2 linked regions of the Callithrix jacchus genome follow. The protein of the gene in region 2 interacts with the protein of the main gene of each other region in a pairwise test. Links are inferred from orthologs where the notes say so. Each region holds a gene or a part of one and is shown on either strand. Other genes may lie near its edges.

Evidence for each region. The genes of interacting proteins can lie anywhere in the genome.
Region 1: the proteins of SKP1 (region 2) and FBXL8 interact in binary tests that used the Homo sapiens proteins (3 or more experiments, as listed by UniProt). The link is inferred for Callithrix jacchus from reciprocal best matches to the Homo sapiens genes SKP1 and FBXL8.

Annotation. Positions count from the first base shown.
Region 1 is NC_133521.1:24,668,480-24,672,682, forward strand, and holds the start of FBXL8 (F-box/LRR-repeat protein 8), read left to right. Parts: upstream 1-1,390; 5' UTR 1,391-1,443; exon of another isoform or gene 1,444-1,488; intron 1,489-3,183; 5' UTR 3,184-3,234; coding exon 3,235-3,386; intron 3,387-3,603; exon of another isoform or gene 3,604-3,990; coding exon 3,991-4,203. UniProt on the Homo sapiens protein: Substrate-recognition component of the SCF (SKP1-CUL1-F-box protein)-type E3 ubiquitin ligase complex.
Region 2 is NC_133503.1:74,173,077-74,176,642, forward strand, and holds part of SKP1 (S-phase kinase-associated protein 1), read left to right. Parts: intron 1-2,650; coding exon 2,651-2,794; intron 2,795-3,566. UniProt on the Homo sapiens protein: Essential component of the SCF (SKP1-CUL1-F-box protein) ubiquitin ligase complex, which mediates the ubiquitination of proteins involved in cell cycle progression, signal transduction and transcription.

The DNA of each region.
Region 1 (4,203 bases), on a different chromosome or scaffold from region 2:
TGTAGGTGATTTTTATTTTCTTTGTATTTAGCAATATTTCCTGTTTTATGTGAAGGAGATAAATTTTCTTTGTATTAAAAGAGCAAAATAAATTTGTTTTCCTTGAAAGCAAAACAAGAAAAAACAGGGGAAGCCCTGCAAGTGACAAGTGGGTCCAGGAGCGCGTGGCAGGGAGCCAGCCATGGAGGTAAGACCAGCAGTGGAGGTGAGTCCTAGGAAAGTGGGCTGGGAAGTAGGAGAGAGCGGGAACCTCCCCTGGAAACGTTCCCTCTTTCAGGTCTTCCTAGCCCCTTGAGGTGGGAATGTTGACCAGATGGATGTGGTCCCACCCCAAAGGGTGGAAGTGGGGATTCAGTGGGACCAGTGTCTGCCCATCATGCCTGCGTGGGGGTTGTGGGGGGAAGCAGGGAGTTCTGGGAACCTGGAGATGGGGGATGCTCCGTCACACTCACTGGTACCAGACAGATGGCGGAGGTGAGCCAGGCTGGAGGTCGAGTTAACAGGGTAAAGAGGCCAGGGCCCTAGTTTTGCAATCCGCTGATTGGCAGCTCCTCCTATGTGTTCTTTCAAAGAAGCCCCTCTTGGGAAGCCCTTCGCCCCACCCACCTGTTGTCGTTCCTTTTTTGGGCGGGGCTGAGGCTTCCAGGCTGGGTCTTGAGAAATCTTGGTGGGCGGAAACTGTGGGGCACTTGAGTATCAACTAACAACGTTTGCCTCTATTTCCAGGGGCGAGCCAAGCACGGTGCCCCTTGAACACCTAACAGTCCCGGGAGAAGACCCACCTCTGGCTGGATGGACCGGGATCGCCTGTGGGAGTGGCTCAGAACTGAAAGCCTGCGACTCCTGGCGACCGGCCAGGCACACCCCCTACTCAGCTACACTGCTCCCGAGCGCTGGAGGGGAGCTTCCAGTAGCCCACTAGCTACTGGGCTCCCACTAGCCCACCCTCAAGCTGGCGTTTTGCACTTGCGATTAACTGGGGTGGGCAGAGGGGTCTCCGCTCAAGGGAGTGTTCAGAACCAGCCCCTCCTCCCCCACCCTCTCTCCTGCAGGGCCCTACTGCCCCTCGAAAGCCCTGTCAGGGAAAAGGAACCTGCGGGCACCAAATTCCGTACCGCCCCCCGCCTCCCACGAGAACAGCCCAATAGGCCGCCGTCACCAGCTGGCTAGAGCAGCCGCCGGTGACATCTGCGCCGCGCCCACGCGTCGGAGACAGGATCCACCTCGGCTCCCGCCTGCATTGGGGAGCCCACCTACCCACCTCCCCTCTATACTAACCTGGCCGCCTCGGCCGGGCCTGGGTTCCCACGCCCGCCAGGCTCCGCTCCACTCGCGCCGCTTCCGGGTGTGCGCGGAGGCTCTGGGGCGGCGCCCCAGCCCTAGCCACCCTGTCCGCCCGCGTGTCCCGCCCCGGTGGCTGCTTCCCGCCTGCTGTCCTCTGAGGTCAGTCCCTCGCACCGGGCAAAGCCCATCTAGTCCCCTGAGCAGGTAAGACACAGGCGCCCAAGTTTAGACGGCAGGAAGACCTGGACTTTGGGGGTTTGCGATTCTTACGAGGCCGGGGGCTCAGAAGAGCGAGAGTTGCCAGACTTTGGTAGAAAGGGGGCGCCCTCTGTAGACCAGAATTTTCTGGTGCCCCTGGGGATCCGGCTGCATGATAGCTGCTACGACTGGACACTGAAAACAGGGTGCTCATGGGTCCCAGGTACAAGCCTGGTAGAGCGTATCTGAAGCCCCAGGAAACACGTGGCACAAATTCCGGGAGAAACTTAGCCCGGAAGATATGGGGACATTAGCTGGCGACTGGTGTGAAGCCTTCTGTATGCAAACCTTCAGGAACCTTAAAACAAGATTGGGGGTTGGGTGCGGTGGCTCAAGCCTGTAATCCCAGCACTTTGGGAGGCCAAGCCGGACGGATCACGAGGTCAGGAGTTCGAGACCAGCCTGGCCAATATGGTGAAACCTCGTATCTACTAAAAATACAAAAATTAGCCGGGCGTGGTGGCGCCTACCTGTAATCCCAGCTACTCGGGAAGCTGAGGCAAAAGAATCGATTGAACCCGGGAGGCGCAGGTTGCAGTGAGCCGATATCGCGCCACTGCATTCCAGCCTGGGCGACAGAGCTAGACTCTGTCTCAAAACAAAACACCAAGATTGGCAACTTCAAAGAGGACGCACACGTTCCAGTAACCCCATCCCCCAGTAAAGGCCGCGCTCCGGGGTGGGTGTGCGGAGTTCCAGCCGAATCCAAATTGCCCGCGGGAGGCAGGGCTGCTCAGGGTTCGAAACTTGAACTTTGAGTCCCTAGAGCCGTCTCAGGCACTAGAGCCGTCAGGTCCCAGAGCCCCAAGCTTTTTCTCACCCTGTCTTAGGAAGCACCCGGGACACAGCCGTCAGGTCCCAGAGCCCCAAGCTTTTTTTCACCCTGTCTTAGGAAGCACCCGGGACACATCCCCGTGAGGCGGAGGCGGGGAAGGAGTCTCCCCTCTCGGGGCGTATTCAGCTGTGCCCCGCCCACGCCCCGCTTCCTGATTGGCTCACGGTCCCGGACAAAGAAAAGTCTGAATTAATGTTCCCGCCTTATTAACCCTGCAGTCACTTGCTGGTGTTAAGATGGGGTATCTCAGGCCCGGCATGATGGTTCATGCCTGTAATCCCAGCACTTTGGGAGACCGAGGCGAGCCGATCGCTTGAGCCCAGGAATTCATGGCCAGTTTGGGCAACAAAGCGAGACCTCGTCTCTGCAACAAAATTACAAAAATTAGCCAGGCTTGCTGGCTTGCCCCTGTAGTCCCAGCTACTAGGGAGGCTGAGGTGTGAGGATTGCTTGAGCCCGGGAGACTGAGGGTGCAGCGAGTTGTCAGTGCGCCACTGCACTCCAGCCTGGGTAAAGAGCGAGACCCAGTCTCAAAAAAAAAAGGTGAGGTTTCTCAACGTGGAACCTGTGGAGTCACCCGGGGCTTGTTGAAATGCAGATTCCTGGGCCTTACCCTTTCAGGAGAACCTGATTTAGTAGGTGAGGTTGTGAAATCTGCTTTGTGAACAAGTGTTAGGGTTATCTGATGCCCCATGATGTCTGAGAGGGCCTCAGTTCCTCAGGCCACATGCGTTTGTACAACAAAGCTTGATCTTCCCGCAACGCTTTGCGCCTTCCTGAGCCCAGAGACATCCCTCTTTCTCCAGGCCAGAGCTATTGGGAGTGGCGGATCCTCCCACCCCAGACGGATCTGGGCCATGGCTGAGCCTGGAGAGCGACTGCCAGAGGAGGTGCTGGCGCTCATCTTCCGCCACCTGTCCCTGAAGGACCGTGCTGCAGCCGCCAGGGTCTGCAGGGCCTGGGCTGACGCTGCTAACTCCAGCGCAGTGTGGCACGACACAAAAATCAGGTGAGCCTGCTCCTCCACACCCCTCTCCCTGCCTCCCTTTCACCTTCTCTGTGGAGTCGTGGGCTAGGCAGATTCAGGTTGACTCCCCCATATTAAAAAATAATCGCTGACATTTATTAACTGCCTAACACATACCAACCATTGTTTTTAAGTGCCTTACATATATTAACTAATTTAATCCCTACGAAAACCTTGTGTGGTAGATAGGTATCATTACCTCCATTGCCCAGATAGGAAACTGAGGCAGAGAGACTTAATCACTTCCCACGGATCACTCAGCTAGGGAATGGCAGAGGCGGAATTCCAAGCTAGCAGTCCAGAGGCCAGGCCAAGACACCTTAGAGACAGCTGAGAAAGTCCAGTTCCTAAAATATCATTGGTTCTCCATACCCGGGTTTCAACCTGTGGCAGATGCCACTAAACTCTTCTGAAAGGATAGGATGGGAGTTCCCTCCTTTGGGTCAACAGGTGTGGTCTGTACAGAGGTGGGGAGGGAGGCAGGAAGTAGGATGGCAGCTGGAACCCCAGCTAAGGCGTAGGTAGAGGCTTCTCCCCCGGTCTTGGGGACTCAGCCGAGGCCTTTTCTGCACGACTCTAACCCAAGTTGCGAATGTGAGCTGGAAGGCATGCTGCCACCTTATCTGTCCGCCTGCCTTGACCACGTTCACAACCTACGGCTGGAATTTGAGCCGTCGAGGGAGCCGAGTCGCCGGGCGGCCATCAAACTGCTGATGACTCTGGCGGACCGTGCCCTAGGGCTGCGAGGCCTCTGCCTGGAGTGCCGCGGAGAAAAGCCGCTCTTCGACTCGGGCCACGA
Region 2 (3,566 bases):
TAGGGTCTCACTCTGTTGCCTAGGCTGGAGTGCAGTGGTGCAGTCATGGATCATTGCAACTCTACCTCCCAGGTTCAGGTGATCCTCTCACTCCAGCCTCCTGAGTAGCTGGGACTACAGGCGCATGCCACCACACCTGGCTAATTTTTGTATTTTCTATAGAGGTGGAGTTTCACTGTGTAGCCCAGGCTGGTGTGGAACTCCTGGGCTCAAGTGATCTGTCTCCCTTGGCCTCCCAGATTGCTGGGATTATGGGTGTGAGCCACCACACCTAGCTAAGAAGTTTTTTTTTTTTTTTAAAGCCTGTTTGCATTGAATGTATATTGTATTTTGAATAATAATTACATGATGCCAAAACTGAAAGTGTACAGTAAAATTTCCCATCGTTGTCTCTTATCTGATGGGAAACTATTCCCCCCAGAAAGTAATGTGGCATTTTTTATTGTTTTTCTTTTTTACTGGCGCTACCCGTTGTGAACGTAGGCAGGCATTAGTTTCTTATATATCCTTTAAAGAGTTTTTTATTTTTAAATTTTATTATTTTTTTATTAGTAGTGGTAGTAATTTTTTTTTTTTTTTTTTGAGACAGAATCTCTTTCTCTCTTGCCCAGACTAGAGTGCAGTGGCGCAATCATGGTTTGCTTCAGCCTCAACTTCCTGGGCTCAAGTGATTCTTTTTTCTCAACCTTCTGAGTACCTGGGACCGTAGATGTACGCCACCGCCCCTGGCTCATTTTTGTATTTTTTAAAGAGACGGTTTCACCATGTTACCCAGGCTGGTCTCGAACTTCTGGGCTTAAGCATCTCTCCCACCTTACCCTCCCAAAGTGCTAGGATTACAGGTGTGAGCCTCCTCGATCAGCCTATTTATTATTATTATTATCATTTTTTTGTAGAGGTGGGGTCTTGCTACATTGCCTAGGCTAGTTTTGAACTTCTGGCACTCAGCAGTCCTCCTGCCTCAGCCTCCCAAATTTCTGGGATTACTGTGCCTAGCTTTAGAGTTTTTAAAATGCCCAGATAAGCAAATATTAATTGCCATTTGTTCCTTTTATATTATTGGAATACTGCTTAAGAAGTTTCATTAAAACCCTTTGCTGGTTAGGCATGGTGGCTCATAACCTGTAATCTCAACACTTTGGGAGGGCAAGGTGGGTGAATTGATTGAGTTTAGGAGTTTGAAACCAGCCTGAGCAACATGATGAAACCTTATCCCTACAAAAACAAAATAAAAAGATGAGCCAGGTGTGGTGGCATGCACCTGTAGCCCCAGCTACTCGGGAGGTTGAGGTGGGAGGATTGCTTAAGCACAGGAGGTCGAGTGAGCCATGATTACGGCACTGCATTCCAGCCTGGGTGACACAGTGAGTGACGCCTTGTCTCAAAAACAAATGAACAAAAAACCCTTGCTTGGCTTTGCCTTATTGAAACTGTTATTTCTTTCTTTTTTGTTTTTTTGTATCCTGGCAATATAATTTCTTGGCTCTACTATTTTCTCTCAGCATTGTTTATTTCTCCAACATTTTCCTATGAAAACGTTTTAACCATACAGAAAAATTGAAAGAATTACACAGTGGACACCTATACGGCCACTGCCTAGATTCTACAACTTAAAACACTTTAAGTATTGATTTTGGTCTTTATGTTGGTATGTAGGTAATCAGCTTCCTGAAACTTTATGAAGTCATTATTCTCTTATTAAGGGAACTTTGGGGCTTTTGCTGTTTTGTTGTTGCACCATATAGTCTTACAGATGTGTCTGGGGTATTTGGAATTTCCTGGTTACAGTATATGCACATATTCAGCTTTACTAAGGAGTGCTGGATTAGTATAAAATGGGTTATACCAATTTATACTCGAGTTCGTGTTTCCTTTCCACTATTGTCCAACAATTAGTATCAATTTCTTGATTTTTTTTCATTCTAGAGAAGTATCTGTAGTGTTAGTTTTGCTTCTAAGAAGTTGAGTGTTCCTTACATTTGACTACTCAGTTTTCATTTATTGCCTGTACATATCTTTAACCCATTTCTCTATAGTGACTTTTAAAATATTTTATATTCTCTAGGCTAATCATTGTTCTACGTTTTGGAGATATCCTCCAGTCATTGTCCTGTCTAACTTTTCTTTTTGCATAGAAACGTTTTTTTTTTTGAGATGGAATGCAGTGGTGCCGTCTTGGCTCACTGCAACCTCTGCCTCCTGGGTTCAAGTGATTCTCCTGCCTCAGCCTTCTGAATAACTGAAATTACACCGGCCACCATGCCCAGCTAATTTTTTGTATTTTTTTAGTAGAGACGGGTTCTACCATGTTGGCCAGGCTGGTCGCATCTATGACCTTGTGATTCGCCTGCCTCAGCCTCCCAAAGTGCTGGGATTATAGGCGTGAGCCACCACGCCCAGCTGCGTAGAAGCTTTTTAATGTGGTCAAGTATGGTACTCTGTCTACATGGCTTGCTTTTATCTAATAAGATCTTCTGCCTTCTAGGGTTATAAAGATTCTTCAAGCTTCATTTTTGCTTTTCAAGCTTGGCTGTTAATTGCTCAAGTCAACCTCTAGCTAGTTATTATCCCAACATAGAGATAAGTTGTCCCAGCAGTGGAATGAGTACCTTTGACAAAATGCCACTGAAGAATCAACTTGTTGTTGTAGGTCATTCAGTGGTGCACCCACCACAAGGATGACCCTCCTCCTCCTGAGGATGATGAGAACAAAGAAAAGCGAACAGATGATATTCCTGTTTGGGACCAAGAATTCCTGAAAGTTGACCAAGGAACACTTTTTGAACTCATTCTGGTAAGTTTTTTTGTTTTAATTTTTTAAATTTTTATTTATTTATTTATTATTATTTTTTTTGAGACGGAGTTTCGCTCTTGTTACCCAGACCGGAGTGCAATGGCACGATCTGGGCTCACCGCAACCTCCACCTCCTGGGTTCAAGCAGTTCTCCTGCCTCAGCCTCCGTAGTAGCTGGGACTATAGGCATGCACCACCATGCCCAGCTAATTTTTGTATTTTTAGTAGAGACGGGGTTTCACCTTGTTGGCCAGGAATGTCTCTATGTCTTGACCTTGTGATCCACCCACCTCGGCCTTCCAAAGTGCTGGGATTATAGGCGTGAGCCACCGCACCCGGCCTTGTTTTTTTTTGAGACGGAGTCTCGCTCTGTCGCCCAGGCTAGAGTGCAGTGGTGTGTTCTCGGCTCCCTGCAAACTCTGCCTCCCAGGTTTAAGCAGTTCACTCCACCTCCCAAGTAGCTGGGATTACAGGTGTGTGCCACCGTGCTTAGCTAATTTTTGTATTTTTAAGTAGAGATGGGGTTTCACCATGTTGGTCAGGCTGGTCTCAATCTCTTGACCTTGTGATCCACCTGCCTCAGCCTCCCAAAGTGCTGGGATTATGGGCATGAGCCACCATGCCTGGCATCTGGTAAGTTTTTTTTAACATATAAAATAGCTCTATTCCAGAGCCTTTAAATATTACTTCTTACAGATTTAAAATTTGCTAACTTCATTGACACTGAATTTTAATACTCTGAATTAAAATGTAATGCCATATTTAAATCCAC